Linked DNA regions of Tamandua tetradactyla. The protein of the gene in region 1 interacts with the protein of each later gene in a biochemical or structural test. Links are inferred from orthologs where the notes say so. Each region holds a gene or a part of one and is shown on either strand. Other genes may lie near its edges.

The links.
Region 2: the proteins of NUB1 (region 1) and ubiquitin D-like form a complex in vitro, tested with the Homo sapiens proteins (6 studies listed by BioGRID, with this or other methods). The link is inferred for Tamandua tetradactyla from reciprocal best matches to the Homo sapiens genes NUB1 and UBD.

Annotation. Positions count from the first base shown.
Region 1 is NC_135327.1:195,338,693-195,355,319, reverse strand, and holds the start of NUB1 (NEDD8 ultimate buster 1), read right to left. Parts: upstream 6,440-16,627; 5' UTR 6,352-6,439; coding exon 6,332-6,351; intron 3,673-6,331; coding exon 3,555-3,672; intron 1,700-3,554; coding exon 1,532-1,699; intron 1-1,531. UniProt on the Homo sapiens protein: Specific down-regulator of the NEDD8 conjugation system. Recruits NEDD8, UBD, and their conjugates to the proteasome for degradation. Isoform 1 promotes the degradation of NEDD8 more efficiently than isoform 2.
Region 2 is NC_135331.1:84,199,155-84,214,657, reverse strand, and holds ubiquitin D-like, read left to right. Parts: upstream 1-8,713; coding exon 8,714-8,740; intron 8,741-9,998; coding exon 9,999-10,466; downstream 10,467-15,503. Other genes in the region: putative olfactory receptor 2I1, read right to left, coding at 12,232-13,152, 15,133-15,186, 15,446-15,451. UniProt on the Homo sapiens protein: Ubiquitin-like protein modifier which can be covalently attached to target proteins and subsequently leads to their degradation by the 26S proteasome, in a NUB1-dependent manner.

The DNA.
Region 1 (16,627 bases):
TACTTTTATTTTTCTCATAAAGGCCTTTATTTTTCCTAGACATTTTTAACAGCTGTATTGATATAGTATAATAAAAAACTTGGCTGGTCTTTTCCCCAGTTCCTGGAGAAGCAAACTGAATCTTTGGAATTTCCTGTGAAAGGACTGCCTTCTATTCTTCATGGAGAACCTAGGACCACATCTGATAGTTGCAGGGTGGGGCCAGCAGCCTGAGAGTAGGGTTTAGCCCTACCAGAAAGATCAACCAGGTACTTGGGGGGTGGCGCTTTGAGCCATGTCACATCAGCCCAGCTCCCCAACATCTGGGAGATTATATTTAATTAATCTGATTGCCTTCAACCAGGTGGAGATTGAGTCTATTAGTCACAATTACATAATGAGGCCACTTGAAGTCCCAGTGACCTTCCATGATTGAAATAATACATCTCTGTGCTGGGAGGGTGATGTGCTCTGACGCCTCGATGAGTGGACACGTTTGAGAGCCTCCCAGACCTCGACCAATACGTCTCTTCCTTTGGCTTCCTTTTATATTCTTTTACTATAATAAAACCATAATCCTAAGTATAGCACTTTCAGTGAGTTCAGTGAGTCATTCCAGCTAATTATCAAGCCTGAGCAGGTGCTGGGAACTCCCTCAATCTGTGGCCAGTTGGTCCAAAGTGTGGGTGGCCCCTAAACCTGTGACGGGTGCCTGAAGGACGATCTTATAGGAGATTTCCCTTAACTTGCGGAATGGGCCTAATGGTAGTGAGAGTCAGAATTGTACTGGACTGAGTTACTGCAGTATTTGCAGTTGGTGTCAGAACCTGCTAGGAACACTTGAGGCCATCCAAATCTTGATAGATGTTAGCTGAGGAAGCTAACTAAAGTTTCTGATACCCTTACAACTGAGATATAATTTACATACCATAAAATTCATCTGTTTAAAGTCTAAGGTTTCTAGAATATTTACAGAGTTGTGGGACCATCATCATAATCCAATTTCAGAACATTTTCATTATCCTCTCCCCTGGCAAAAATCATACCCCATACTTTTCCCAATCTTCCCACCTCTTATTTCATCCTTACCTTCCCCATCCACCCAGCTCTACTCAACCAGGAATCTGCTTCCTGTCTCTAAGAAGTTGCCTATTCTGGACATTTCACATAAAAGGAATGTGTCTGGTTTCTTTCACTTAGCATAACGTTTCTGAGATTCATCTGTGTTGTAGTATGTATCAGAAGTTTCTTTTTACTACCAAATAACATTCCATTCATGGATATACAACATTTTGTTTATTCATTCACCATCCTTTTGTTTTTATATACATAAATGTTCATTCATAAACAGGATATATCATATTTGCATGTGATTTTATGTAAATGGGATCTGGGAAAACAAACTACCAGCTAGAAAATTAAAATTAAGTTGTAAGTCAATAAACGTTCAACATGCAAAATAACTTAAAGAAGTGTAAGTCTGGATTATAGTTTTTTAAAAATCACAACTTAACTTTTCACTAAGTTAAACATTAGGACTTATGTTACTCACTTTTCTTACTCTTGGTGGTAAAAATACCTCAATTGTAGCAATTCCTGTTGTTTTATAATTTTCATTTCCTGTTCCACGTTCAATTGCTTTGCAACGTATTTCTTCTATTATTTTTTCAATCTCACTTTCACACCATTCTAGCTTGTCAGAGTATTTCTTAGCAAGGTCCTATCAAGAAAAATCAGAAAACACAGATCAATATTGTACCAACTTGGAAAAAAATATATAAAAGACAGAATGGCACATGTAGGACTCAAGGCAATAAACTCTGCTGAGTTGCGGTCATGTTTATTAGAGTAAAATCCAGTTTGCAGCTTGTCATCTTGTGAGGCACAGAGAATTCAAATTCAGGGGGTGGGGGGGGAAGCTAGAGAAACAGGCCCAATAGAAAAAGTGAAATAATTGGGATTACTATAGGTGAATAAGAAGGGTAAGCTGTGATTTATTGACTGGAATATGTAAAAAAATTATTCAAGGAATAGTGAACTATTTATCTCTACTGCAGGAAAACAAAAAGAGAAAAATGGAGAAAGCATTTTAATTGTAGTTATAACAAACCAGGTAAGGTTTAAACAATTTTTTTAACAGAAAATTCTGAATCACTGGTACTGGTAATAAAATTATTTGTAAGGAGGGCTTTAGAATTGGTAAAGAGAACTTAAAAGACTAAAGGGGCCTCAGAGAAAGATCTGAACCAGTTATTATATGAAGTGAAGTCACTATGTTTCCTCTCCAAGAATATCTGCTTTTAAGGTTTAAAAGCTCATTAAGATCTGAGAGGCTTCACTCCTCATAAAACATTAAACACTCTAAAGAACCCTAAAGCCTAAGGTTTTATAAAATTTATAATGCAGTACTATGCAGTGCTTAAAAATGATGGAGCAAAAAAAAAAAATGGAGTTTATGATGGGGGAGATATTGATGGTCTACATAATTAAAGCAGAATGCTGAGTATTTTATTTTTAAGATACTATATACCTACTTGTAATACTTAGATATTTCAACATTTATATAAAAAAACACTGAAAGAATATAGCACTATTAATGATATATATATTTTAAATGTATTCCTTATTTTTTGAATTTAATTATACACATTTTTAATGTATTATTTTTAACATCAGAAAACTAAGTTTTTTTGAAATAACACTTTTAAAAAAACTAATTACTTTCCAAGCCAAGAAATTATAATAAACAAATTCAGAAACAAGGTCATAAGGTAGGTTGCAAAAAATAAAAGTGAGATTTGCCAGGGGCAGAGGACAAGAAAGACAGAAAACTCTTAGCACCCTGACACAGTTTCGGCCACTTCTCAACTACATCACTGCAAAATGACAGAGAACAATTTCATGCCCTCATGATAATCTCTTGTCCCCAATAAATGCTACATCATATTCAGGATACTCAGACTGAAAAAACTAAGAAATCATGACAGGATTTTACAAATTAATAGATTTCTATAAAAAATGATTGGTTTTTGGATTAGGTAAGCAGGCAAACTTCAGTTTCTAGAAATTTCATTTTTGATGATGCCATAAAAAACTGAGGCATAACCATTAAAAAACATATATTTTGGAAAAATGAACACTGATAGCCACAGAGTAAAGAATTGGGAAAGTGGAGCAATGATTTTATATAAGACCATGATAAGCAAGAGGACTGAGAAACAACCAAAACAATGGCGCTCTAAAAACATAAAACAATAACTTAACTAGCACTAGTACTGCTGAGCTGTTAGGTCAAAATTACTTCCTAGATAAATCATTTTATGTAATTTTGTGACGGTATTAAAAACAGCGTATGCCTGAAAAATTAGAGAACATTCTTAAATGAATAAAATCTTATTTAACATAAATAAGTCTGTCAAATCCTAGCAAAAAAGTGGGTACCTGCTTTATCACTGATGCTTCTGGTTATGCCAAAACTTTATTTGGTTGTGCCTGGCAATTTCTGGTAACTTCAGAAATTTGTTTACTAGAAAGATCTATAACACTGCTGATTACTTGTCTTAAAAGAAAAATACCTTCAATGCCAAACCAACTTCTTTATTTTCATCTGTATATGGGGGTTTCCAAAGTTGAATTCTGTCTTCCCTTAAAAACTGGGTCAATTTTGCTTGAAGGTATTTCTTTTGTGCCATCCTGGAAAGCAAAATTGTATAAGATTAAAACCCCACAGCACATTTTGAAATGCTTTATAACTTACTTAATACACTGAGGTATTCTGTAAAATAAACTCCCTCCTACCCTCTCTCTCATATTTATCTAAATTACTAACGCTTTAACTAGCTCTAAAGGTTTTAAAAAAATTATGTATATAGTAAATCCAAAATTGCCAATATATAGCAAGACTTGTTATACTTTTTTATTTCTTAATACATTATTACCTGATCTGAGAAAAAAAGAACTAAAAGATGAATCCCTAAAGTAGCAAAACATTTCAAACTTAAGTTCTAAAGATTGTATTGTGCAATAACTTGAGAGTAACTTTTATAAATAAAAAGCATTGAGCTCATAAATTCTTTTGTATTTTGGCTAAATTTAATTAAAATAAAAGATTGACCACCCTGGTAAATAAATATAAAGAAAAGCCAGCTTGAACCATGAAGTATCAATAATAAATAATATCTATACCTGAATTTATAGAATTAAAAAGTTTTACAATTCTAGAAAAGTTTTGCATGACATTTTGTGAAAACAGTATTATAGCATCTTTACAAATACTAAATTAAATTATAACACTAGTTGAAGCATCGTTTTACTACATTTAATTCATTACTATATTCAATTCTAACTCTAGTTGGAGCTTAGAAAACTGAGGTCCCAGGTTTGTAAAACGACTCAGTCACAGCCACAAAAATTAGGCTGGAACTTCTGCCTACAATAATGGACTCTGCATTTTATAATGCAATCGTAGGTGCTTTTCTGTTCTCTGTATGTAACTACTCTTTCCCAAAGAACCACATGCCATCAGCAGACCTGTCTACATATAGCACTTAACTTACGATCAGAGCAATCAGTGTTGTGGGTGTGACTGATGACAAATAGTTGATAAAGTATAGTGCAAATAGTAGAAAGGTAAAAAGTTAATAGCTCCTGAATGGTGGAAACGAGATCTAGAGAGGAATAAAAAAATCTATATATCTATTATCTATCCATCTATCTATTTATATATATATATAAGGGGAAAAGAGACATAGGATGTATCAGGTTTTCTTTTCTCCCTCTTTTTTTTTGGAGTAATTAAAATGTAATATAATTGATTGCGGTGATGAATGAATAATTATGTGATGATATTGTGAGCCACTGACTGCAGACTCTGGATGGACTATATGGTATGTGAGCATATCTAAAAAAATTTGCATTTAAAGTATATATAGTTAGTATTAGGGCAGGTCAGGGTGGCTCAGCAGGCAGACTTCTCACCCGCCATGCCAGAGAGCCGGGTTGGATTCCTGGTGCCTGCCCATGCAAAAAAAAAAATAGGGAGCACAGGTGGTTCAGTGGTAGAATGCTCACCTTTCATGTGGGAGACCGAGGGTGGATTCCCAGACCATGTACGCAAAAAAAATTTATATATATCTATGTTAGTATAACCTAGACAAGGACTTGTTTTCTATTTAAGGCACTATTTCACACACACATATGTACTCTCAAAATCCAGTTCACCTGACCTTTAAATCAAGTTTGGTAACTTAAGTGTTTTCAATAAATAAACATATTTAAAAGAATAGTCCAGTCTGTTATACTAGTTTGGGACAAGATAAGGGAATAAAAGGGAGGAAGGAACTAACAGGGAGAGTGCTGCCTGCACTGGGGCGCTGCCCATGAAAGAATCCTACTTTCAAGTACTAACTGCTTCTCACGCTGAAAAACTTCATAGTACTTATGAGCAGTACCTTTTCGAAGGCAAATAACTCACATGACCACTACACACGGTTATGTTCCTTACTCATATCTCTTCAGAATTTCTGAATAAAATACCAGGGCAACCCACTGCCGGAATAACTTCATGGGCTACTGGAGCCAAGCTATCTGGAAGGCTGAATGCACGGCCCTCAGAGGACCCACCCAAGCCACCGCCTGCCAAAAGTGTTTCACAAACCTAGTCTGTGTCCAACACATCACGCAGCAAATGAACAGCTTAAGATTTCATTTTTTCCCACTGTCTTTAAACACAAGACTTCAGTGACAGATAACAGACTAAGCACTGCTACAGATTTTAAGTACACTGAAAAAGAAAAAAGCTTAATAATCAGTTTTCTATTTTAATGGATAATTGAGAAAGCTAGTTTCCTGCCTGTCATCCAAAACAACCAAAAAATGCTGAAATCCATTAACATCACTGTTACAAATTGAAAGTGAAATGGTAGAAACCACAACTTTAAAAGTTTCACTTTCACTTTTGTAAGTTAATGGATCGACGCCACCTTGACCCAAAGCTTTTCAACTGTATCTACCCAAAACCCCTTAAGTTTTCTTAGAAAGAGCAATAAAAGACTCTTCTATTAAAAGATTAAGAGTAAAGGAAAGAGATGAGAAATACAGAATCATATGGTCAAGGTTCAGGAAAATCAACCGTATTTACTCATTAAACAGCAAACAAACAAACAAAAAACCTCTGGCTTTCACTGCAAATAAATCCGAAAGGCTTATTTGAAATAACAGTGTTATGAGTCAAGCTTTTGGTCTGGCTAATTAGTTATACATATATATATATTTATTTATGTTTTCCAAAAAAACAATACTCCAAAATTCCTTTTTTAAGACTCCCCTCCCCACCGCCCCAGCCCAAGGCAACCTTAGCAAACCAAAAGACATCCGATAGCCTGCGCGTCCCGAAGCGCCCCGCCCGGCCGCCGCCCCGGGGTCGGACCGGGCCTCACGCAAGAGCCGCTCTCCAGCCTCAGCTCCCGGCCAACCCCAACCGGGTCGGGGAGGGGCGTCCGAGTCGCGCCAGAGCCACTCCGGGTGCCGGCGGGCGTCCGGAAAATGCCGCCGCGGCGGCTACAATTAAGCCGCCGGGTGAGTCCGTCGCCTCCTCACCTCCGCCACCGCCGCTCCTACCCGCGACCAGCCGAGTGCCCGGATGCGGTGGCGGCCGCTGTTTGTTTTCATTCCGGGTGAAACCGGCCTCCGCCTCCGCAGTCTCACAGCCCTCGCGCCCACGAGGAGGCGGGGTGGGGGCGGGGTTGCGGGTCTGGGGCCGGTCGGGAAGGCGGGGTGGGGCGGGGGCGGGGCCACGAACGCGGGACGGGGGCGGAGCTGCCCGGGCGGGCTCGCCCGGAAAGCCGGAAAGAACAGGGCCCCTGGGAAGGGTGGGGTGGGGCGGGGCGGGGGCGGGGCCGGGGAAGGGGTGGGGTGGGGGAGGGTGGGGCCGGGGCGGGGCCAGGGCGATGCTCTAGGCCCAGGTGTCTGGGACCTTTTATCTGCGCCCCGCCCCCTGGTCTAGGCCGAACCAAACCGGATGTCCCACCCACCCCCACGCCTCTTGTTTCCCACCCTACCCTTGATAATCACACCTTGATAATCCCACCCGGAGCGTGCGCTCGTGGTGAAATTGAACAGGTTCACCCTACCTGCTCGACCTCTTTCGCTAGAGCTTTTTGCCCCCAATTACCATATCCATTACCGTTATCAACCGAGAAGGCAACTTTCAAAGTGGAGTGCGCTGAGCCCGCCACTTTGAAATAAACGTAAGATAAGGTCCATACCCTTATGTCTAGTGGAGGACAAAGACAACTGTAGACACACACACAAAAAAGCAATTTGTGAAATGTTGTGAGGAGAAAGCAGATCCCAGATGGTTGAGTACGAGCTTGAAAGATGGTCAGGCTTTTGGTAGGCGAGGGAGAAGGATAAGATAGAGTACATCTTGGACCCCCGAAAGTTTGCTTCATCCTTCTAAATCCGGAAGCCAATTGTCAAAAGACAAATCGGAGTCCAGTTGCAGTTAATTCAGGACACCAAGATTGCTCCACCAAGGAAACCAATCTCAAAAATGAAAGCAGCTTGGAGGTTGGGGAATTTGCAAGCAGTTTTATAAACAAAAAGAAAGAATTTGACTAGGTTCTGTTGATTGGAGCAGGGACCTGTTAGTCTTGTAGGGGTGGGTTAAGTGTAGCGGAGCTGTATTAGTCAGGGTTCTCTATAGAACCAACAGGAGATACCTGTAAATAAAAGATTTATGAAAGTGTCTCATGCAACGGTGGGAATGTAAGAGTCACAAATCCGTAGAGTGGGCTGTGAGGCTGGCAAATCCCATGAAGGGTCTCGTGGAGTTCCACAGGAGAGGCTTGGGAGCTGAAGAAACAGTGAAAATTCTTTTCTTCTCCCTTAAAAGTCTTCAACAAATCAAATCAAATCCAACTGATTGTATTATCTCTTTGGGCGTGGGGTAGGGGGAGTGGGGGGGAGTGCCCTTAGTTGATCTTAGATGTAGTCGGCCACAGATACAATCAACTGACTGATGATTCAATAAACACCTTGTGGTTTATCAACCAGCCACAAAAGATCCTTGCAGTAGCAGTTAGGCCAGTGCTTGCCTGATGAGACAACTGGCCATCATCACCTGGCTAAAGTGACACCAAAACCATCACGGGGGCTTTATTTTATTTATTTAACTTAAAAAAAATTTTTTATTAGCTCTGCAAAAGTAAAGCTTCCAAAAATTTTGTACAATATGTATGACTATGATATGTGATTTGTCAATATGGGGGCTTTATTTTTAATTGAGCTACATATGCTCAACCAGAGGCTCAACTGGCTTTTGGGGGTCCAGAGTCTTGGTAGGGACTTCTGAAGAGGATGTTTATCATATAATTCAATGCGAGTTCAGAGAATTGAACTTTTGTGTTGGTTCTGAGAAAAAATAGGAAATTTTTTTTTGTTTTTTTTGTCACCATCCTTGGACCTGTTCCAGAATCATTGTCACAGTGTGGTGCTTGAAAGCATGGATCCTTCAGTAAGGCACCATGACTCCAGCGAGTATGAGAGGTGATCTGGAGCGGATTACTTAACCCTTTCTCTGTCTCAGTTTCCCCACTTGTAAAATGGGGATAATGACAGCACTGCCTTTGGTTGTGGTGGGAATTCCGTGAAATAATGTATGTAAAGCACCCAGTGATTGTTGCTTGTGGTTGCTGCTGTTAGTATTGACTTTCCATCCACCCTCTCCCAAGAAATGTTCCGAGGCTAGCTTCAATTATGCTAATGAACTTCTCCTTTTTTGTGACTAGTTGTAGGATCCTGGATAATGATTGCTCAATTAGTGAGGGCCAATTCTAGGAATATCAGCCCGATGATGAAATGCAGAATCAAGTGGAACAATGAGATACCAGATACAGAGAGTTCAATAAAGGGGGTGTTCTAGTTTGCAAGCTGCTGGAATGTGATATACCTAAATCGGCATAGGGGAATTTATTAAGTTGCAACTTTACAGGCTCTAAAGCCTTGAAAATGTCCAAATTAAAACAAGGCTATAGAAATGTCCAATCTAAGGCATCTAGGGAAAGATATTTTGGTTCAAGAAGGCCAATGACATTCAGGGTTTCTCTCTCAACTGGAAAGGCACATGGCAGACATGGCGATATCTGCTAGCTTTCTCTCCAGGCTTCTTGTTTCATGAAGCTCCCCTGGGGTCGTTTTCCTTTTCATCTCCAAAGGTCTTTGGCTGTGTGGGGTCTATAGCTTTTTGCAAAATGGTTCCCTCTTAAAGGCTCCAGTAAGCAACACCACCTTGAATGGGTGGAGACACATCTCCATAGAAACCATCTAATCAAAAGTTACCACCCACAATTGGGTGGATTACATCTCTATGGATAATCAAAAAGCTCCCAACTAGCAATGTTGAATGAGGATTAAAGAACTTGGCTTTTGTGGGGTACAAAGATTCAAACTGGTACAGAGGATATCAGGATAATCCAGGCATGAAATGATGACATGGATCTGACTGTAGACAGAGAGGAAATAAAAGGAGGAGGGAAGGAGTGCAAAACAGAGAGAACTCTGCAGCGGAAAAATAGGAGTTGAGGACTGATTGCATGTGAAGGATGAAGAGGAGAGTTAATTCAATGAAATGTAACAAGTAATGTTAATGGAGGATTTGAACAAGGTGCCTTCATAGACGTTTGAACTGCTTTCTGAAAGATGTGTTAATTAATGTATGTTCAGTGTAGTTTGGGTTATTAAATGTAATATGTTAATTTCTTTGAAAATTGCTGAGCCTTGTGCACTGGACAGGGGATGCATTCCAGGGGAAATAGCTTGAGATGATCCTTCAAGCAGACCTAATACTATTTCCAAAATGGGTTGTACAAATGCAAGAGGTGTGCAAAATATTACTCATTAACCAGAAAGTTTGCTGTGTTAAAGATGTGTGCCTGGGTGGAAGATGTCATCAAGAGATGGAGTCTATCTCTCCACCCCCTGAATCTGTTTTCGCCTTGTGATTTGCTTTGACCAGTGGGGCAATAGCAAATGTGATGGAAGCAGAGGCTTGAGAGTGCTTGGGCTTTGGGGCTTGCTCTCTCTTGCTGGAGACCACCATGTGAATAGGTCTGAGCTCACCTTCAAGAGAGTGAGAGGCCATATGGAAGAGAACCAAGGAACCCCCAGCTAACAGCCTGCTCACTGCCAGATATGTGAGTGAAGCCGTCCTAGATCCAGCTGACCACAGACACATTGGAAAGTCCCCCAGAGATCACCTGGGCCAACCCAGACAGAAGAATCACCCTGATTCTATGAATCATGAGCTTGATAGAAGTTTTATTTTAAACCGCTATGTTTTGGGATAGTTTGCTCTGCAACAAAAGCTAACTGACAACAGCATTCATGATCAAGTAACACTGCAGTCAGGCCTTATTCATTGGACAAGAACAGTTATCCTAAGAAAGCAAAAACTCAAAATATGATTAAAAAAATATCAAGGGCAAAAGCCATTTGCTTCTTTGTGACTGTAGTAAAATTTGATTTTTTTCCTGAACGTACTACGAAGTCTACATTTTTCAATGCATTGATCTTTTTAATAAATGATTTACATTTTTTCTTTATAGTTCATGTTGGCATGCATTCTCACTTCTTAAAACAGCTTTATTGAGGTATAATTCACATACCATGCAGTTCACTAATTTAAATTGTATAGTTCAATGTTTTTTAGTCTATTCACAGAATTGTGCACCCATCAGCACAATCAATTTTATAACATATTAATCATCTCCAGGATGAACCCTGTATCCATTAGTAACCACTCCCCAAATCCCTCAAACACCTCAGCCCTAGGCAACCACTAGTCTACTAGTTCGGTTTGCTAAAGCTGCCAGAATGCGATATACCAGCAATGGGTTGGTTTTTACAATGGGGATTTATTAACTTAAAATTTCAATTCTAAGGCCATGAAAATGTCCCAATTAAGGCATCAACAATATGATACCTGGACTTTGAAGACAGACTGTTGGCATCCCAGACACCTTTGTCACATGGGAAGTCACATGGTGATGTCTGCTGGTGGTTCTCTCCTGGGTTTTGTTGTTTTCAGCTTCTGGTTCCAGTGGCCACCTCTGTGAGGTTCTAGGGGTACTTGTTTGCTTCTCCAGGGCTTTTTTCTCTGAGTTCGCTCAGCTTTTTCTGTCTTTTATCCTCTCATAAAGGACTCCAAAAAGGATTAAGACCAACCTTGAATGGGTTGGGTCACATCTCAATTGAAACAACCTAATCAAAAGGTCCCACCCACAATAGATCTCACACCCACAGGAATGGATTAAAAGAACGTGGCGTATTCTGGAGTACTAATAGCTTCAAACCAGCACATCTACTTTCTGTCTCTATAGAGCTACCTATTCTGAACATTTCATATAAATGGAGGCATACAATATGTGGCCATTTGTGTGTAGCCTCTTTCATTTAGCATAATGTTTTTGAGGTTTGTACAGGTTGTAGCATGTGCCAGTACTTAATTTCCTTTTTAATGCTGAATAACATCCCATTGTATGGGTATACATTTTGTTTATCCATTCATCAGTTGGTGGGCATTTGAGTTGTTTCCACATTTTAGCTATTTAAATAATTTTACTTTGAAAATTCATGTACAAGTATTTTTGTGGACATACATTTTCATTTCTCTTGGGTATATTCCTAGGAGTGGAATTGCTGAGTCATATGGTAATTCTATGTTTGACATTTGGAAGCAAGTGCACCATTTTACATCCTTACCAACAAGGTGTGAAGGTTTCAGTATCTCCCCATCTTCAACAACACTGGTCTGTCTTTTTTATTATAATCATCACAGTGGATATAAAGAAGTAACATGTGGTTGTGATTTGCATTTATTTAATGAATAATGATGTTGGGCATGTGTTTGGTTTGCTAATGCTGCCAGAATGCAATATACCATAAATGGGTTGGCTTTTACAAAGGGAATCCTTACACCACAAATCTACAGTTCCAAGGCCATACAAATTGTCCAAACTAAGGCATCCAGAGAATGATACCTCAACTCAAGAAAGGCCAATGGATCTGTTCCTTGCCTGTATTCTCTACCTTGGTTAACAGCACAGCTGTGTGTCTTGTCTCCCCAGCTTGAAACCTTGGTGTCAATCTTGACTCTTCTTTATAGTCCCCTGTCCAATTCCTCTCACTTTTACTTCCAAAATGGCTTGAGAATAAGTGCTGACTTTCCCAATCCAGGGCCATGGCTTTAATTCAGGACCTTACTACCTGGCATGCAAACCACTACTGCCTGCAACAACCCGCTAACCAGTGTCCTCTCCAGTTCAAACACCACAATTTCATCAAAGTGCTCTTCATAGAGAAGCTGTTTTAGAATGCCCAGTTCCCCAAGGCCCCTCCCAGTTTGATTCCTGCCTTACCATTTAGCCTCACCATTATGTGGCGCTTGACGACACCTCTTTGTTATAGCCATGTCCTTTCCCATGTCAGCCTAAAAACATTGTGGGAGCCAAAGATTCACAGTTCTCCCCATTACCCACAACGCCACTTTCCTCTCCATGAGAACAGGTTGTGAACACACACACACACACACCTTGTACACACATTGTTCTTTTTATATAAGTGGAATTTTTATATAGTTCCGTCTCTTTTTTTTTAATTAAATTATAGTACATTTTGGATCTCTGAATGTCACTTCATATAGATATGGTCTTTCTCGTTCTTTCTAATGAAATAAATATTATAACATTTAAATATTTCTATACTGACTTTCAGTCTATTTCCATGTATTAGGTATAACAAACAATGCTACAAAAAATCATACCAGTATATATATCATTGCAACTACAAGTATTTCTATAAATCGTTTTTTTTTTTTTTTTTTATGTGGGCAGGCATCAGGAACCAAACCTGGGTCTCTGACATGGCAGGCAGGCGAGAGCTCTGCCACTGAGCCACTGTTGCCCACCCACAACAAGTATTTCTATAAGATAGAGTCCCAGAAATGGAAAAGCTATTGCCAAACTGCTTCCCAAAAAGTTGTACCAATTTACAAGCCCATCAATAGTGTACAAAAGAGCCTATATCCCTGCAACCTCATCAAAATAGGATAATTGAAAAAAATTTCAAACTTTTTTCCAACAAAAATCTATCATAATTTTGCCAATCTCATGGGCGAGAAAATGGCATTCCATTATTTCAAATTCCCCTTGCCATATTATTAATGAAGCAGACCATGTCTCCTGTATTATTTTGGCCATTTGCATTTATCTTCCTTTTATTCATATTTGCTTGTTTTACTATTGGGTTCTTTGTTCAATAATTTGTAGAAATTCACTATATATTACAAATATTTTCATCATGACATTGTTACAAATATTTTTTCCAGGTTGGTTTGCTTGGTCTTTTACCTTTATTTACATGTTCCACCACATGGTAGTTTTACATATAAGGTAGTCAAGACCACCAATAGTCTCTGTAATTGTTCCTGCTTTTTTGTATTTTGCTTAGAAAGGACTTTGCCAGGTCAATATTATGATCTATACTTTTTATTAGAAGGTTTATAGTTTTTATGTTTATAACTTTAATCTCTGTGTGAAATTTTTTATTGTCCAAGGGGAGCTTTTTATTCATGTAAAGACTATTTTAAATGAATATTCAATTTATCAGAGTTGAAAAATTTTAAATATAGGTTTTCTTAAGCCTGTTAAGTTCAACTTACAAATTTTGATGTTCTATTTATAAATCTGGACATTTTTGTATAAAACTAAAATAAATTTCTTACAATTGTTTCTTGAGTAAAGTTTAGAAACTTAAGTTGAACAAATGAAATTCCTTTAATGTGTGCTAGTTATAAACTTAGTTCATTACATTCCCTCAAACATTTTAAATTGAAGTGTGTTTTACTGTCTCTTGAAAAAGAAGAACAATGGAGCAAAATAGAAAGTCCAGAAAGGGGTTCTAATATAAACAGTTCATCCAGTATATGATAAGGAAGGATGGCATCTCAAATAAATGGGAAAACATCAGTCTATTCAATATATAGTATAGAGATTGCTGAATAACCATCTAGAAACAAAATAAAGTTTGATCCATACCTAACACGGTATACCAGGATGAATTCCAAGTGGATCAAAGATTATAACATAAAAAAAAGAAAAAGAAACCATATAAGTTTTAGAAGAAAAGGGAGAGAAGAAAGACTTTTTTTTTATGAACACACAATACCTAGAAGCCAAAAAACAAAACAAAACAAAAAGCTAAATTTTACTACTTAAAAATCTGTATTTAAAATTCATAAGTAGGGCAGTGCGACGGTGGCTCAGCAGGCAGAATTCTTGCCTGCCATGCCAGAGACCAGGGTTCGATTCCCGGTGTCCCATGCAAAAAAAAATAAAAAATAAAAAAATAAAAAAAAATTCATAAGCAAAGGCTAAAGACAAATGGCGAAATGGGAGGAAAATATTATCAATTTACATCAAAGTCAAATCTCTTTAACACATAAAGAGTCCCTACAAATCAATAAGAAAAAAAGGTAATAGAAAAATGGATAAAGGCTATAAAAAATATAGTTCACTGTAAAATAAATATAAATGGTTCATAAACATACGAAAAATTGTTTAACCTCTTTCATAATGAGATAAACATAAATTAAAACTATACCAAGCCATCTTGAAAAGAAGAACAAAGTGAAAGGACTCATACGTTCCCTTTTTAAAATTTATTACAAAACCACTATAATTGGGTGCATGGGTAATTCAATGGCAGAATGCTTGCCTTTCATGTAGGAGGTTGGGGTTCCATTCCTGGACGATGCACCCAAAACAAGAAAATAAACAAATAAACAAACAAAAAACCACCACAATCAACATATCATACAATTGACACAAAGACAGACACATAAAACCAATGGAATTGAATTGAGCAGTCAGAAATAAACCCTCACATCTATAGTCAACCTGGTTTCAACAAGGTGCCAAGTCAAATCAATGGGGAAAGAATAGTCTTGTCAACAAATGATGCTGGGAAAACTGGATATCCATATACAAAAGAATGAAGGTGGACCCTGCCTCACACCATATATAAAAATCAACTCAAAACAGACCTACATATAAGCACCTTGGAGATGCAGAAAGAAATCACCCCAGGGAAAGTTGTTGGGACCCAGAGGCCTGGAGAGAAGGTCAGCAGAGATCACCCTGTGCCTTCCCATGCAAGAAAGAACCTCAGTTGAAAGTTAGCTGCCTTTCCTCTGAAGAACTATACATTAACTAAATAAATCCCCTTTTATTAAAAACCAATCTGTCTCTGGTGTGTTGCCTTCCAGCAGCTAGCAAACTAGAACACAGGGCTTACGGTGGTGGTAGAGAATGGGAGATAATAATTAAATTGTATAGAGCTTCTATTTGGGTTGATGGAAAGATTTTGGTAATGGGTGGTGGTGCTAGAAGCACAACATTCAGAATGTAATTAGCAGCACTGAATTATATATTTGAATGTGGCTAAAGGGAAAATTTTATGTTGTATGTACATTACCAGAATAAAAACTTTAAAAATTCATAGAACTGTATAACACAAATAGGGAACCCTTATGTAACCTACAGGTTATAGTTCGTAGTACAACACTAATGCAAGGTATTAATAATAGGGAGGGTATATGGAAATTCTGTATTTTCTGCATGATTTTTCTATAAACCTGTAATGTCTGTAATAAAAATTATATATTCAAATTTTTAAAAATGTACATCAAGATATCACTTTTTACATATCAGATTGGTGGTGACAGCAAGATTGTGGGGAAATAGGCACTCTCATACATTACTTGTGAAATGTCAAATTGGTAGGATTCATAGGAAAGTAAATTGTGAGTATCTATCAAAATTGTAATATGTATTCTCTTATACCCAATTCAAATTCTATTATTCTTGCTGTGTTTGATTAAACTGCCTCCTTCTGCTATTTTTAACACTGACATTTAATGATTTTTATCTGCCCAATTTCTTAAGAAGAAGAATTCTCCTCATTTTGTGTTTGTGTTTTTGTTGCTATGGGCTCTGTGGTAATAAAGATCAAGGAACTTCCCCATAACAATGGCTGGAGAAAAAACAGAAGATTCTTACACACCCTTTGCGTGACAGTGAAATTTAATGATGAATGTGACCAGTTCTTGCTATAAATGTGAAAAGTAACAGGTAGTTTTGACAATTTCACTTCATTTGTAGTTACAATGATCAGAGCAATAAAAATGCATTGGGCTATGTTGTATTATAAACTAATTTTTTACTTTTGGGAAAGTGGATTTAAAAAGAAAAAAAGATCATTCTGGACTTTCCTATCTAGAATTAGGAATTTCTGAGGAGTGGTTGGAAACTAAATTTTTGGGTAAATTTGAATGCTGACTCAAATGTTCAGTCTGACCAGTTTTTAGTTTCACTGATAATCCTATTGGAAACAAAGCCATTTTAATAAGCATCTTATCTGTACAAGAAGAATATGAAAGGAACAGAGAAATCAAGCAGGTAGTGAGTGAATTTGTTCCCACTTGAGGGGGTGTACATAATTTCAACCACCCTACTGAGGTAGTTCATAAGAGTGGTCCCAGTATAATTTCTGTGTTTCCTTACTAAAATGGCTTTATGAATTTGTGTACTCT
Region 2 (15,503 bases), on another chromosome or scaffold:
AGGACAATTTTGCTGGATATAGAATTCTTGGTTGGCAGTTTTTCTCTTTTAATAATTTAAATATATCATCCCACTGTCTTCTTGCCTCCATGGTTTCTGCTGAGAGATCTGTGCATAGTCCTATTGGGCTTCCCTTGTATGTGATGGATTGCTTTTCTCTTGCTGCTTTCAAGATCTTCTCTTTCTCTTTGACCTCTGACATTCTGATTATTAAATGTCTTGGAGTATGTCTATTTGGATCTATTCTCTTTGGGGTATGCTGCACTTCTTGGATCTGTAATTTTAAGTCTTTCATAAGAGTTGGGAAATTTTCAGTGATAATTTCCTCCATTAGTTTTTCTCCTCCTTTTCCCTTCTCTTCTCCTTCTGGGACACCCACAACACGTATATTCGTGTGCTTCATATTGTCTTTCAATTCCCTGAGTCCCTGCTCATATTTTTCCATTTTTTCCCTATAGTTTCTGTTTCTTGTCGGATTTCAGATGTTCCGTCCTCCAGTTTTGAAATCCTATGTTCTGTCTCTCAAAATCTACCATCGTAGGTTTCCATTGTTTTTTTCATCTCTTCTACTGTGTCTTTCATTCCCATAAGTTCTGTGATTTGTTTTTTCAGACTTTCAGTTTCTTCTTTTTGTTCTTTCCTTGCCTTCTTTATATCCTCCCTCAATTCATTGATTTGGTTTTTGATGAGGTTTTTCATGTCTGTTCGTACATTCTGAATTAATTGTTTCAATTCCTGTATGTCATTTGAATTGTTGGTTTGTTCCTTTGACTGGGTCATAGCTTCAATTTTCCTAGTGTGATTTGTTATTTTTTACTGGCATCTAGACATTTAAGTATCTTAATTAGTTTATTCTGGAGATTGCTTTCATTTCTTTTATCTAGGGTTTTCTTGCTGGATGAATTTGTTGTCTATCTGTTCTTTGACATTCCGTTCAGCTTTATCTGGACCTTTAGCTTAAGTTTTGTTTAACAGAGAAGAATTTTTCAGTTCTTAATTTCTTGTTTCTTGCCCTGCTTGTGGGGTGCCTCCCCCCCCTCCAACACACACACTTAGGAGGGTCTACTTAGATATTATAGACCCCAGCCAGATATTCTCAACCCTCCTCCCTCTATCATTCTCACATGCAGCTTTATTCAGTGTTTTAACATAATTACATTACAGTTAGGTAGTATTGTGCTGTCCATTTCTGAGTTTTTGTATCCAGTCCTGTTGCACAGTCTGTATCCCTTCAGCTCCAATTACCCACCGTCTTACCCTATTTCTATCTCCTGATGATCTCTGTTACCAACGACATATTCCAAGTTTATTCACTAATGTCAGTTCATATCAGTGAGACCATACAGTATTTGTCCTTTAGTTTTTGATTATTCTCACTCAGCATAATGTTCTCAAGGTCCATCCATGTTGTTACATACTTCGTAAGTTTATTCTGTCTTACAGCTGCATAATATTCCATGGTATGTATATACCACAGTTTGTTTAGCCACTTGTCTGTTGATGGACACTTTGGCTGTTTCCATCTCCTTGCAATTGTAAATAATGCTGCTATAAACATTGGTGTGCAAATGTCAGTTTGTGTCTTTGCCCTTAAGTCCTCTGAGTAGATACATAGCTTTGGTATTGCTGGGTCATATGGCAATTCTATATTCAGATTTTTGAGGAACCGCTAAACTGCCTTCCATAGTGGTTGCACCATTTGACATTCCCACCAACAGTGAATAAGTGTGCCTCTTTCTTCACATCCTCTCCAGCACTTGTCATTTTCTGTTTTGTTGATAATGGCCATTCTGGTGGGTGTGAGATGATATCTCATTGTGGTTTTGATTTGCATTTCTCTAACGGCCAGGGACATTGAGCATCTCTTCATGTGCCTTTTGGCCATTTGTATTTCCTCTTCTGAGAAGTGTCTGTTCAAGTCTTTTTCCCATTTTGTAATTGGATTGGCTGTCTTTTTGTTGTTGAGTTGAACAATCTCTTTATAAATTCTGGATACTAGACCTTTATCTGATATGTCGTTTCCAAATATTGTCTCCCATTGTGTAGGCTGTCTTTTTACTTTCTTGATGAATTTCTTTGATGCACAAAAGTGTTTAATTTTGAGGAGCTCCCATTTCTTTCTTTCTTTCTTCAGTGCTCTTGCTTTAGGTGTAAGGTCCATAAAACCGCCTCCAGTTGTAAGATCCATAAGATATCTCCCTACATTTTCCTCTAACTGTTTTATGGTCTTAGACCTAATGTTCAGATCTTTGATCCATTTTTTGAGTTAACTTTTGTATAGGGTGTGAGATACGGGTCCTCATTCATTCTTTTGCATATAGATATCCAGTTCTCTAAGCACCATTTATTGAAGAGACTGTTCTGTCCCAGGTGAGTTGGCTTGACTGCCTTATCAAAGATCAAATGTCCATTGATGAGAGGGTCTATATCTGAGCACTCTATTAGATTCCATTGGTCAATATATCTATCTTTATGCCAGTACCATGCTGCTTTGACCACTGTGGCTTCATAATATGCCTTACAGTCAGGCAGCATGAGACCTCCAGCTTTGTTTTTTTTCCTCAAGATACTTTTAGCAATTCGGAGCACCTTGCCCTTCCAGATAAATTTGCTTATTGGTTTTTCTACTTCTGAAAAATAAGTTATTGGGATTTTGATTGGTATTGCATTGAATCTGTAAATCAATTTAGGTAGGATTGACATCTTAACTATATTTAGTCTTCCAATCCATGAACATGGTATGCCCTTCCATCTATTTAGGTCTTCTGTGATTTCTTTTGACAGTTTCTTGTAGTTTTCTTTGTATAGGTCTTTTGTCTCTTTAGTTAAATTTATTCCTAAGTATTTTATTCTTTTAGTTGCAATTGTAAATGAAATTCGTTTCTTGATTTCCCCCTCCGCTTGTTCATTACTAGTGTATAGAAACACTACAGATTTTTGAATGTTGATCTTGTAACCTGCTACTTTGCTGTACTCGTTTATTAGCTCTAGTAGTTTTGCTGTGGATTTTTCCGGGTTTTCGACGTGTAGTATCATATCGTCTGCAAACAGTGATAGTTTTACTTCTTCCTTTCCAATTTTGATGCCTTGTATTTCTTTTTCTTGACTAATTGCTCTGGCTAGAACTTCCAACACGATGTTGAATAGCAGTGGTGATAGTGAACATCCTTGTCTTGTTCCTGATCTTAGGGGGAAAGTTTTCAATTTTCCCCCATTGAGGATGATATTAGCTGTGGGTTTTTCATATACTCCCTTTATGATTTTAAGGAAGTTCCCTTGTATTCCTATCCTTTGAAATGTTTTCAACAGGAAAGGATGTTGAATCTTGTCAAATGCCTTCTCTGCATCAATTGAGATGATCATGTGATTTTTCTGCTTTGATCTGTTGATATGGTGTATTACATTAATTAATTTTCTTATGTTGAACCATCCTTGCATACCTGGGATGAATCCTACTTGGTCATGATGTATAATTCTTTTAATGTGTTGTTGGATTCGATTTGCTAGAATTTTATTGAGGATTTTTGCATCTATATTCATTAGAGAGATTGGTCTCTAGTTTTCTTTTTTTGTAATATCTTTGCCTGGTTTTGGTATGAGGGTGATGTTGGCTTCATAGAATTAATTAGGTAGCTTTCCCTCCACTTCAATTTCTTTGAAGCGTTTGAGCAGGACTGGTACTAATTCTTTCTGGAATGTTTGGTAGAATTCACATGTAAAGCCATCTAGTCCTGGACATTTCTTTTTGGGAAGCTTTTTAATGACTGATTCAATTTCTTTACTTGTGATTGTTTTGTTGAGGTCATCTATTTCTTCTTGAGTCAAAGTTGGTTGTTCATGCCTTTCTAGGAAGTTGTCCATTTCATCTACATTGTTGTATTTATTAGCATAAAGTTGTTCATAGTATCCTGTTATTACCTCCTTTATTTCTGTGAGTTCAGTGGTTATGTCTCCTCTTCCATTTCTGATCTTATTTATTTGTGTCCTCACTCTTCTTCTTTTTGTCAATCTTGCTAAAGGCCCATCAATCTTTTTGATTTTCTCATAGAACCAACTTCTGGTCTTATTGATTTTCTCTATTGTTTTCATGTTTTCAATTTCATTTATTTCTGCTCTAATCTTTGTTATTTCTTTCCTTTTGCTTGCTTTGGGGTTAGTTTGTTGTTCTTTCTCCAGTTCTTCCAAGTGGACAGTTAATTCCCGAATTTTTGCCTTTTCTTCTTTTCTGATATAGGCATTTAGGGCAATAAATTTCCGTCTCAGCACTGCCTTTGCTGCGTCCCATAGGTTTTCATATGTTGTGTTTTCATTTTCCTTCGCCTCGAGATATTTACTAATTTCTCTTGTAATTTCTTCCTTGACCCACCAGTTGTTTAAGAGTGTGTTTTTGAGCCTCCATGTATTTGTGAATTTTCTGGCACTCTGCCTATTATTGATTTCCAACTTCATTCCTTTATGATCTGAGAAAGTGTTGTGTATGATTTCAATCTTTTTAAATTTGTTGAGACTTGCTTTGTGACCCAACATATGGTCTATCTTTGAGAATGATCCATGAGCACTTGAGAAACAGGTGTATCCTGCTGTTGTGGGGTGTAATGTCCTATAAATGTCTGTTAGGTCTAGCTCATTTATTGTAATATTCAAATTCTCTGTTTCTTTATTGATCCTCTCTCTAGATGTTCTGTCCATTGATGAGAGTGGGGAATTGAAGTCTCCAACTATTATGGTAGATGTGTCTATTTTCCTTTTCAGTATTTGCAGTGTTTGCCTCATGTATTTTGGGGCATTCTGCTTTGGTGCATAGATATTTATGATTGTTATGTCTTCTTGTTGAATTGTTCCTTTTATTAGTAGATAGTATCCTTCTTTGTCTCTTCTAAGTGTTTTACATTTGAAGTCTAATTTGTTGGATATTAGTATAGCTACTCTTGCTCTTTTCTGGTTGATATTTGCATGAAATATCTTTTCCCAACCTTTCACTTTCAACCTATGTTTATCTTTGGGTCTAAGATGCGTTTCCTGTAGACAGCATATAGGAGGATCCTGTTTTTTAATCCATTCTGCCAGTCTATTTCTTTTGATTGGGGAGTTCAGTCCATTAACATCTAGTGCTATTAGTGTTTGGGTGGTACTTTCCTCTACCTTTTTCCCTTTTGTATTTTACATGTCATATCTAAATTTCCCTTCTTTCTACACTCTTCTGCACACCTCTCTCTTCTGTCTTTTCTTATCTGTCTCTAGTGCTCCCTTCAGTATTTCTTGCAGAGTTGGTCTCTTGGTCACAAATTCTCTCAGTGACTTTTTGTCTGAAAATGTTTTAATTTCTCCCTCATTTTTGAAGGACAATTTTGCTGGGTATAGAATTCTTGGTTGGCAGTTTTTCTCTTTTAGTAGTTTAAATATATCATCCCACTGTCTTCTCGCCTCCATGGTTTCTGCTGAGAAATCTACACAGTCTTATTGGGTTTCCCTTGTATGTGATGGATGGCTTTTCTCTTGCTACTTTCAAGATCCTCTCTTTCTCTTTGACCTCTGACATTCTGACTAGTAAGTGTCTTGGAGAACATCTATTTGGATCTATTCTCTTTGGGGTGTGTTGCACTTCTTGGATCTGTAATTTTAGGTCTTTCATAAGAATTGGGAAATTTTCAGTGATAATTTCTTCCATTAGTTTTTCTACTCCTTTTCCATTCTCTTCTCCTTCTGGGACACTCACAACACGTATATTTGTGCGCTTCATATTATCATTCAATTCCTTAAGTACCTGCTCATGTTTTTCCATTCTTTTCCCTGTAGTTACTGTTTCTTTTTGGATTTCAGATGTTCTGTCCTCCAGGTCACTAATCCTAACCTCTGTCTCTTGAAATCTACCATTGTAGGTTTCCATTGTTTTTTTCATCTCTTCTACTGTATCCTTCATTCCCATAAGTTCTGTGATTTGTTTTTTCAGGCTTTCCATTCTTCTTTTTGTTCCTTCCTTGCCTTCTTCATGTCCTTCCTCAATTCATTGATTTGGTTTTTTTTTTTTTTTTTTTTTTTTTTTTTTTTTTTTTTTTTAGAGAGAGGGAGGAAAGGAAGGAAAGACAGAGAAGGAAGGAAGGGAGGAAGAAAGGGAAACATTTTAAACATTTTCTTGTTTTATTATATTTTGTTTGTTTGTTTGTTTTTTACATGGGCTGGGGCCGGGAATCGAACCGGGGTCCTCCGGCACGGCAGGCAAGCACTCTTGCCCGCTGAGCCACCGCGGCCCGCCCTGATTTGGTTTTTGATGAGGTTTTCCATTTGTGTTCGTATATTCTGAATTAGCTGTTTCAGCTCCTGTATCTCATTTGAACTAATGGTTTGTTCCTTTGACTGGGCCTTATCTTCAATTTTCCTTGTGTGATTTGTTATTTTTTGCTGGTGTCTAGACATTTAATTACCTTAATTAGTTTATTCTGGTGATTGCTTTCACTTATCTTACCTAGGGTTTTCTTGCTAGATGAGTTTGTTGTCTACCTGTTATTTGACCTTCAGTTCAGCTTTTTCTGGGCCTGTAGCTTAAGTTTTGTTTAACAGAGGGTAATTTTTCAGTTCTTGTTTTCTTGTTTCTTGTCCTGCTTGTAAGGTGCCTTTTCCCTCCCCACCCTTAGGAGGGTCTACATAGGTATTACAAACTCCAGCCAGGTTTTCCCCGACTAAACTGGCCTCCTATCAGGGGGAGGGAGTCACCTGCATAAGCTTACCCTGAGGGTGAGTCCCAGCAGGTTGAAAGACTTTCCTGTGAAGTCTCTGGGCTCTGTTTTTCTTATCCTGCCCAGTATGTGGTGGTTGTCTATCTGCAGGTCCCACCACAAAAGATATTGTGGCTCCTTTAACTTTGGAAGGCTCTCCCTGCTGGGGGCGTGGTGGAGACAGAGAAGAGGTTTTAGGCTGGTTTTAATGGCTTCAAATTGCCAAGCCCTGGGTTCTGAATTCCTTGAGAGAGGGATTCCACCTGAGTTGGGCTTCACCCCTCCCCTGGGGAAGGCTCAGCCTGGAGATAGCCCTGAAGCCATCCATTTCTGCATATGCCTGGGGCAGTTGTAACCTGTGTAGTCCTGCCGCTGAATCCAGAGGCAGCCAAGCCTCCATAGAAACAGCCACAAAAGCCTCCATTTCACCCCCTTTCCTCTTTTTTGGTTAGCCCAATAAGCAACCTCTGCCTTGACCAGTTTCGCCTGAGCTAGGGGCCTATTTTACGTAGTCAGAATTTGTTTATTAATGCCACAATTGGTGTTTGGTTGGACTCAGTCCCTGCTACTGTTAAAATGTCTTTCCTTTCCCTCTGGGAAGCCACCTGTGGGGGAGGGGTGCCACACGCCGGCTGCCACGGCTTGGGGAACTCACGGTTCCAGAGACTCGCAGCCGGTCCAGCTGGTCTAGACTGGGGTACGCTGTGTGTCCAGCTACTATCGTGGCTCCGGGAGCTGTTATGTACTGTTTCTGGTTATTTAGTAGTTGTTCTGGAGAATGAACTAAAATGTGCACATTGCTAAGCTGCCATCTTGGCCCCCCAACTTGACATTCTTATAGGCATTTTACCCTGAGAAAAAAATATCAAAGCACTTTTAATAAATTATATATTTATTTAAAAAAAACTGCAATGGAGGGATGGTTTGGAAGACGCCAGTGGTTAATTTGAAATGTTAAGAGGGTTAGAGTGATCCAACAAATCCCTTGTGGGTACACAGCTCAAGCACTCCCTTTTTGTCTCAGTTTAATTCTCAAGAGCAAGGGAGTGAACAGCATCTTTAGGTGTTTTCTGAGATCACGGTAGTAGGGAGAGTCCTAGGGAAAGGGAGAGCATTGGATGCACCATGGTATGAGAGTGGCTGTGTGAATGTGTTGGTGTGCGGGAGATGGGAGTCAGCATTCCATTGTTGGTCTTGGGTTGTTATGAAGTAATAGATTTGGGTTGCAGGCTCTGGAACAGGGTAGGTAGTGTGCTTGTGAGTTCAAAACTCAGAAATGTAAAATTCTCTGTGAAGACATTTTATAAATATTTTCCTAAGCCTGGAAGACACTTAGGAATCCTCTCTAATTCTCTCATTTCCTTTTTAGACAAGGAAACCAACATCCAAGGAGGTAAACAGACCTGCTCAAGGTAATATAGCAAGTGACACATCTGGGACTCAAACTCATGTCTCTTCTCAGTCTAGGGTTATTTATTATATGTCCTCTCAAGACAAGTTCCACACATTCTGCCGCTGTGAACAGGCCACTCAAAACACCATCCCTGACTGTCCTCTTTTAGGTGCCCTAGCTCTCAGGACAGCCCCTGACTGATGGAGGATTCATAAAAGCAGCAGAGGAGGGTCACCTAGCAGATTAGGTCTTCATGCCAGTGAAGCTCAGAGCTGAGAGTTACACAATCATAAATCAGGACTAGGAGGGTGGAGGTGGGGTGTTAACAGAAGGAAACTCTGAACAAAGGAGGACCATACTGTGCTTCGAATGAAGTGTGTAAATGGATTGGTGAGGGGAAAAATGTCTGATCAAGAAAGTATTCTGTTTTATTGACCCCACCCCAGCAAAAGTGAGAGAAAATTTCTGAGACTGTATCAAAAACAAAGGGTACAGTAAAGCTGCCTAAAGATAAACACAACAGTCCAGGCAGGGGATTTCCACCTCGATTACCTGTATATAGCTGTCTTTTTCTCATCTTCGTATTTCTACTGCCTTGACTGCAGAGATGGCTCCCAATGCTCCCTGCGTCTGTGTAAGTTGGGACCTGAGAAGGGTGGGGAAAGGAAAAGCACCTTTAATTGCTCAGGGGGGCACAGATTTAAGGAACTGAATAGGGATGGTGCTCAGGGAGTAGGATAGCCCAGAAGGCAGCTTGAAGGTGAGCAGAAAGGAATTATTTTCAGAGTGGGCAGAAGGTTGTTGTGGAGAGAAGTCATACATTTGGCTCCTGATTTCTGTTTTGTGTCAGATCTTGAACTGTTAGGGATAAATGGTAGGAAGTGGACTAGACTTTGTGTTCAACAGGGCTGGCAAATTATGGAATTTTTTTCTTATGTCCTTTTCTCCTATCCTGATTAAGTATTCAGGGTTCTTAAGTTTAAGCTTCCCTCTCCTCCCAAAGGAAATCTTCATTTTTCTCATGTTTTTAATGACCCAATATATTACCTTCAATAAGAACATATGCATTATGAAGACAACCTGGAATGTGGGCATCACTCAACACAGAGTAGAGACACTCCAGTGGAGGAATACTAACACAGTCTGTGTCGTGTAAGCTGGGGAAATTTTTTTGAATGGGCTATGAAGGAGCTCCTCCCAGGCTTTTGGGCGATAAAACAGGAATGAGCTGCCCATCTTTCAGAATTTTCCAGTTATTGAAGTAATACTCGGATATAGTCTCCATCTTCCGTGAGGCTCTGGTCTGATTATATAGATCACGTTCTATGATAGGTAGATACAAAAACAAGAAAAAAAAAACTGGCATGTAACATTGAATATAATGTCACAGAAATATGTGACATCATTATAAAGTAATTAAATGTTAAATCAGATAGTAACAGCAAAGCGATTGTGTCCTAACCAGTTTCCTTCCAAAGTAGTTGCAGAACATCTCCATGAGTATCCAAGGAGGCTGTCAAATCTTGAAAACTTTTTGGGAGTTGTTTTTAGAGTCTGGTGTGCATTTTTTTTTAAGCTTTCTAGTTGGATTTATTTTTTGACATTTGCCACATTTTACCTCAATAGGAGTCAGGAAAATAAAGTGGGAAATCATTAATGATATTTTGGGATAAATATAGGGTGTGGTTATGAAGAAATGAGCCTTCTCTTGTTTGGCTTATACCTGGGTCTGGAGGCAGTACCAAAAGAGAAGTGCCAAGAAAAGAAGGGTCACTGATTGGTGGGAAAGAGCAGGAGTGCTTAGCAGGCAGTAGAAGGGGAGGTGCAATGAAGGTAGGGTTGAACGTGTGGCAGATAATCTAGGAAGCCACCTCTAGGTTCTCATTGCCAAGGTGAACATTCATTCCATGGAATGGGAATTAATGACCTTCACTGCCAACATAAATGACTCAGTGAAGATAATCAGTGAACATATCAGTTCTAGGACCAAGGTTCCTGTGCAGGACCACGTCCTGTTTTTGGGTCCGAAGACCCTAAAGCCCCCAAGAAGGCTTTCATCTTATGGAATCGACAAGGAGAAGACCATCCACCTCTCCCTGAAGGTAGTGAAGTCCAGTGATGAGGAAGTTCCCATATTTCTGGTGGAGTCAGGTGATGAGGGGCAGAGGCAACTTCTCCAGGTGTGGAGGTCCAGTTCAGTGGCTCAGGTGAAAGAGATGATTGACATAGACCATGTCAGGCCCGAGACCCAGACTGTGACTTGCAATGGAAAGAGACCAGAAGATAGGAAGACCATGGCAGATTATGACGTTAGAAAGGGGAATTTACTCTTCCTGGCATTTCCTTCAATTAAGGGATGATTGCCCTTGTATTGGAGTGATCTCAGGAAAAAAAGTGACTATTTCCTTTTAGCTTTTACTCACCAATCATGTCCTTTATTAGTTTGCCAAGAGGAATAAATAGATAAATATAGAATTTAAGATTTGGGTGGGGTGGGAAGGAAGACTGCAGAATACCTTTTCACCTTTATTATTCTTTGATTTTAACATAATTATAAGGCAGGATAGTGTATAAGGTGTTAATGAAGATAGAAATGAACTGCCGAGGCTCATGAGAGACAACATTCAAATCCAGTTTGTAATTTAGTTATTTCATGGTTCCCTTTGATTCATAGAGAAACTCCTATTTCCTTTCTTATCTGACAAGACATTAAGTTTTAAATTGGGATCCCTGCTTTTCTAATTTCTATGTTTTCCATTTATGTTTGACTCAGTGCTTCATGTAAAATATCACTCAATAGTTGCTGAACTAAACTGAATTTCCATGGAGAACAGTGAAATGAATTATTAACTGAACTCTGACTAGATCACAATCTAATTCATAGATAAATTAGAAGTTAAATTAAACTTTCTTTCTCTCTATTTAAGGCTGTTTGATATAAAGTGAAACCTGGCACAGAAATGCCTTGCCTACCCTGCATGTCCCATAACAGTTAGAATTGTTCTTATTTCTGTAGATGACAGTGGGCATGGCAGCTCATTTCCATGGGGAGCTAGAGAGTCTGTGCCTCTTGTGGGGACTTCTTGGGGTCAGATGTGTTTCAGGAGGGAATGGACTTTCTGAAAGGTGGAGGAATGTGGACAGTCTCTGTCCTGTTTGTCTTACGGTGTGGCAGGTCTTCTTTAGGTCAGGTATCAGTCTGGATGAGGGGGTAAAGGGTTGACCTCTGGCCTGGCCCCAGAACTCTGCCAAGTTCTGCTGAAGGGGCCTTTTCCTTTCTACTTCCTTCACCACCAGGTCCTGCTCCTCTCTTGGAAACTTGAGTTACGTCCTCCATCTTACTCCCTCCATTTACTCTTCTGCCTCACAGCCTGACTCTCAGGTCTTGCTGATTGTCACTTTCATCTTTTCTCACAACCTGAGACATGCCTACCTTATTCTTCATGAGTTCTAGTCCCTTCTGTTCTTTAAAAATTGCTCAGAACCACTTCCTATAGGTGGGTTTCCCAACTTAACCACACCCAGGAGAACTCATCACACTTAGGAGTGTTCCTCATTACTCTTCTGGGTCAGGTGCCCTGTCGTGGGCACTGGTCACCTGGCCAGGTGGGTATTATGTCCCCGTTTGGATGGTTTCCCCAAGAAGAGGCACCATGGCTCCTTTTTTCTGGATGGAGTTTCATGCAGGGTAAGGTTTATGAGTTCCTTATCAAACTGAGAACCCCTGATAGCAGAAACTGGGAGAAAGCTAATAACGGTAAGCTTCAAGTCACACATCATCTCATGCACACATGGAGTCTGCAGGGATTGTTACTTGTCTCCTGAGGATAAGGAGATCTCCCGAAATCATATCTCCTCCCTTATCAGCTTGGGAGAAAAGTTCGAAGGCCATTTCCTCCTCCCCAAACTTCTATGTAGAGAAGATATTTAGATTTTCCCTCATGAATCTGAACACTACCTGAAAATGGGAAGGGTTAATCTCCCCCATTAACGTTGGGTTCCCTGAGGACAAATCTTGCAGATTTTCTATCAGAAATGAACAGCTTGAAGCGAAACTGACTGACTCTCCAACAGCATTTCTATTCCTGGGTCCTGGGCTGACAGTTTCCTCCTTCCCTTCCCCATTCACTGTCCAGCCTGCCTTTTCTCCAGGCTCCCCAGGAACCTCCTTGCTGCCCCCTTCACCTCCTTATTCCTTAGAGTGTAGATGAGCGGGTTGAGGGCGGGCGTGACCATGGTGTAGAAGAGCGAGACGAACTTGCCTTGCCCTTGATTGTAGCTGTGCGTGGGTTGCAGGTAGGTGTAGATGGCCGAGCCACAGAACAGGCAGACGGCGGTCAGGTGGGCCCCACACGTGCCCATTGCTTTCCTCCGGCCTCCGCGGCTCCTCATGCCCCACACAGCGCGGGCCACGGCGCCGTAGGAGGCCAGGATGACCGCGGACGGCAGCAGTAGAATGACCACGCGGGCGACGAAGATCTGGCGCTCAGTGGATTTTTCGTCGCCGCCGCAGGCCAGCTTGGGCAGCGCGGGCAGCTCACAGAAGTGGTCCAGCTGGAGGGGCCCGCACAGCGGCCGCGTAGCCAGGGACGCTGTTTGGGCTGCGGAGTTGGCTATGCCACCCAGCCAGGAGATGCCGGCTAGCGCGTGGCAGAGGCCGGGCGAGGCGAGCCCGGCGTAGCCCAGCGGGCGGCACACAGCGGCCGCGCGGTCCAGCGCCATTACAGCCAGGAGGACGCTCTCAGATGAGCCCAGCGCCAGCGACGCACACAGCTGGGTCATGCAGCTTGCGGGAGTCAGCCGGCGCGCCCAGCCCTGCAAGTTAGCCAACAACGGCGGCACCACGCTTGCGGTGAAGCCGGCGTCCACCAGGGCCAGGTGGCACAGGAAGTAGTACATGGGCGTGTGCAGCCGCGGGTCGCGCACCGCCGAGTTCCCCGCCAGGGTCATCAGGTAGCAGAGGACAAGGGCGAAGAGGCCTGGCTGCAGGGAGGGCCAGTCGGAGAAACCCAGCAGGAGGAAGCGCTGCTCTGTGCTCAGGTTGGCCTAAAGGAGGAAAACTCCCAGAATGTTTGAAAGGACCAGATCTAAAAGGGTGATACTATCTCTCCAGGCAAATGAGAACCCGTGATGTAGGTGTGGGGCAGGGAAAGGGACTGATTCATATACCATGTTTTTGTAATCTCATTTACAGACCTGAATTCTTAGTTTTGGAAGGAAGCCAAGTATTTGGTATACGTTCCTTTATGTATTTACAAGATCCTATGTGGAAGACAGAACCTCTGTTTTACAGAGGGGTAAACTGAGGCCCATAACGGGAAGTTGTCTTAAGACAGTAACTAGCCTGTGGATCCGTGGGACATACTCAGGCCTGCCTGCTTTCCAAATCTGGTTGTATTCCCAGGGGCCAAGGAAGAAATCCCTCCCGCATGACAACTCTTCATGTTGTTGAAAGCAGATGTCACTCTGTGTTGGGGCCCAGAAGTAGCCCTCTGACTGTTGGCAAAGCCATATCAGAATAACCTTGGAGACACGGCTTGGTGCCCTGTGAAATGAGGTCCAGCCTGTATGCACCTTAACTAATCCAGCCTTACTGTGAGAAAGTTCTGCCTCTGCAGTTTCAGGCAGGTTAGTCAATGCTCACTCTGCTCTCAAGGACAATGACTCTGGAGCCCAAAGAGAGGTGTATAGAAAACATTCCTATGAGTAATAAATGGTTCCTGGGACAGGAATTGTGAACCAAACTTTGTAACTTTGCAGGCATGACAGATATTAAAAATAATCTTGCTCTGTTATACTCCCTAAAGCAGTTCCCATGGAAGAGCACAATAAATAGATGAATGTCAGTTTATTTGGTAATGTTACTCCTGATGAGCTTGAGTCCCCTGACCCCACTTAACTAACTTCTTGTGTCTGTCCTTTCTTAATCCTTTGTAGCGCCCCTTCTTCTCCCCTGTTCCCTAGGGAAATCCTGGCAACTGAGACCCTCTATCCCTTCTTTGAAAATGTGTGGTGCCTAAAAATAAGTATAATACCACAGGGTTGGTCAAACCAACACTGGGTAGATGAGAACTATCACCTTCCATATTTCCGATGCTCTGCCTTTATTAATGCAACCCATCACACTTCTGCCTACTGATGCTTAATCTGTAATGTATAGAGACTGCTTCCATGACCATGTCCCTCCTGCCCTAAGTCTTGAGTGGTGATTTTGATGAGCACAGATCAGCACATGCATTTCAGCCTTAAATCCATAGTCAGCTGTTAGAGGAAGTCATGAGACCTGAGTTCTAGGTAGCATAACTGCTATTTGGCACTTATTTGATATGGCAAAGTTACTTCATTGTCCTCTGACTCCATTTTTTTCATGTGCACATGTATTAATATGATTAAGAACAAGTTTCTGGAGCTGGACTATCTGAGTTAGAGTCACATAGATGCCATGTCCTAGCTGAGGCAACCATAGACATGTTACTTAACCTCTCTGTGCCTCAATTTTCTCATTTGTCAAATGAAGTGAACTAAGTGGGTTAAACAGGTAAAAAGTTCCTAGAACAGTGCTTGAGAACACATAGTAGGTACTCTATTAAAATGCTAACTATTACCATCCCTATTTTACAAATGAGGAAACAGGATTTTAGAAGGATCCTGCGCTATTAATGACAGAGCTGGTATGAAAATGTATATTCCTTGTATTTATTAACCCTGATTTTTACCCAGGTTAACAAAGTTGCCCAAGGTCATCTGGCTTGTATATACTTACAGGATTTGAACCCAAATCTGTTTGACTCTGAGTTCCTTGCATTTTTTTTTTTTAACACATCCGTGTCTGTTATGTTTGGGACCATGGAGGATAATAGAACCTGCAAAGCTTGACCTTTATTTCTAGAAAATTTGACAGTCTGTGGTCATATTTGAGAAAGATAAAGTACAAGAGGTATCAATCAGTCCTATTATCCAATGGTGGCTGGAGTGTTGAATTCAGAAAAGTAAAATTCTCTAATGCTGTGATCGCCTATCACATACCAGACCAGACCTGTAATCCCTAAACCATTTCCCTCCAAACACATCAGACGCTTTCTAAGACGAAAACAGGCACACATTAATAAAACTGCCCAGAAATTGCTCCTATTACTTGTATGAACAAATCATCAAATACATAGCTGAGATACATGCATACACACATATATATATATACCCCATCATTCACCCTGGTACAGAAGGTAAATCAGCCATACAAAATTTTCTACAATGTGTCTCAGAATGTCATTTGGGATTCTAGAATGTCCTCCTCACCACAAGACCATTTTTCCCTGTGGCAATGTAATGACAAACTAACCTTCATGTCTTACTCTCTGGCACTGATATTTAGATCTTCAGCTTCCAGATGGTAAGTT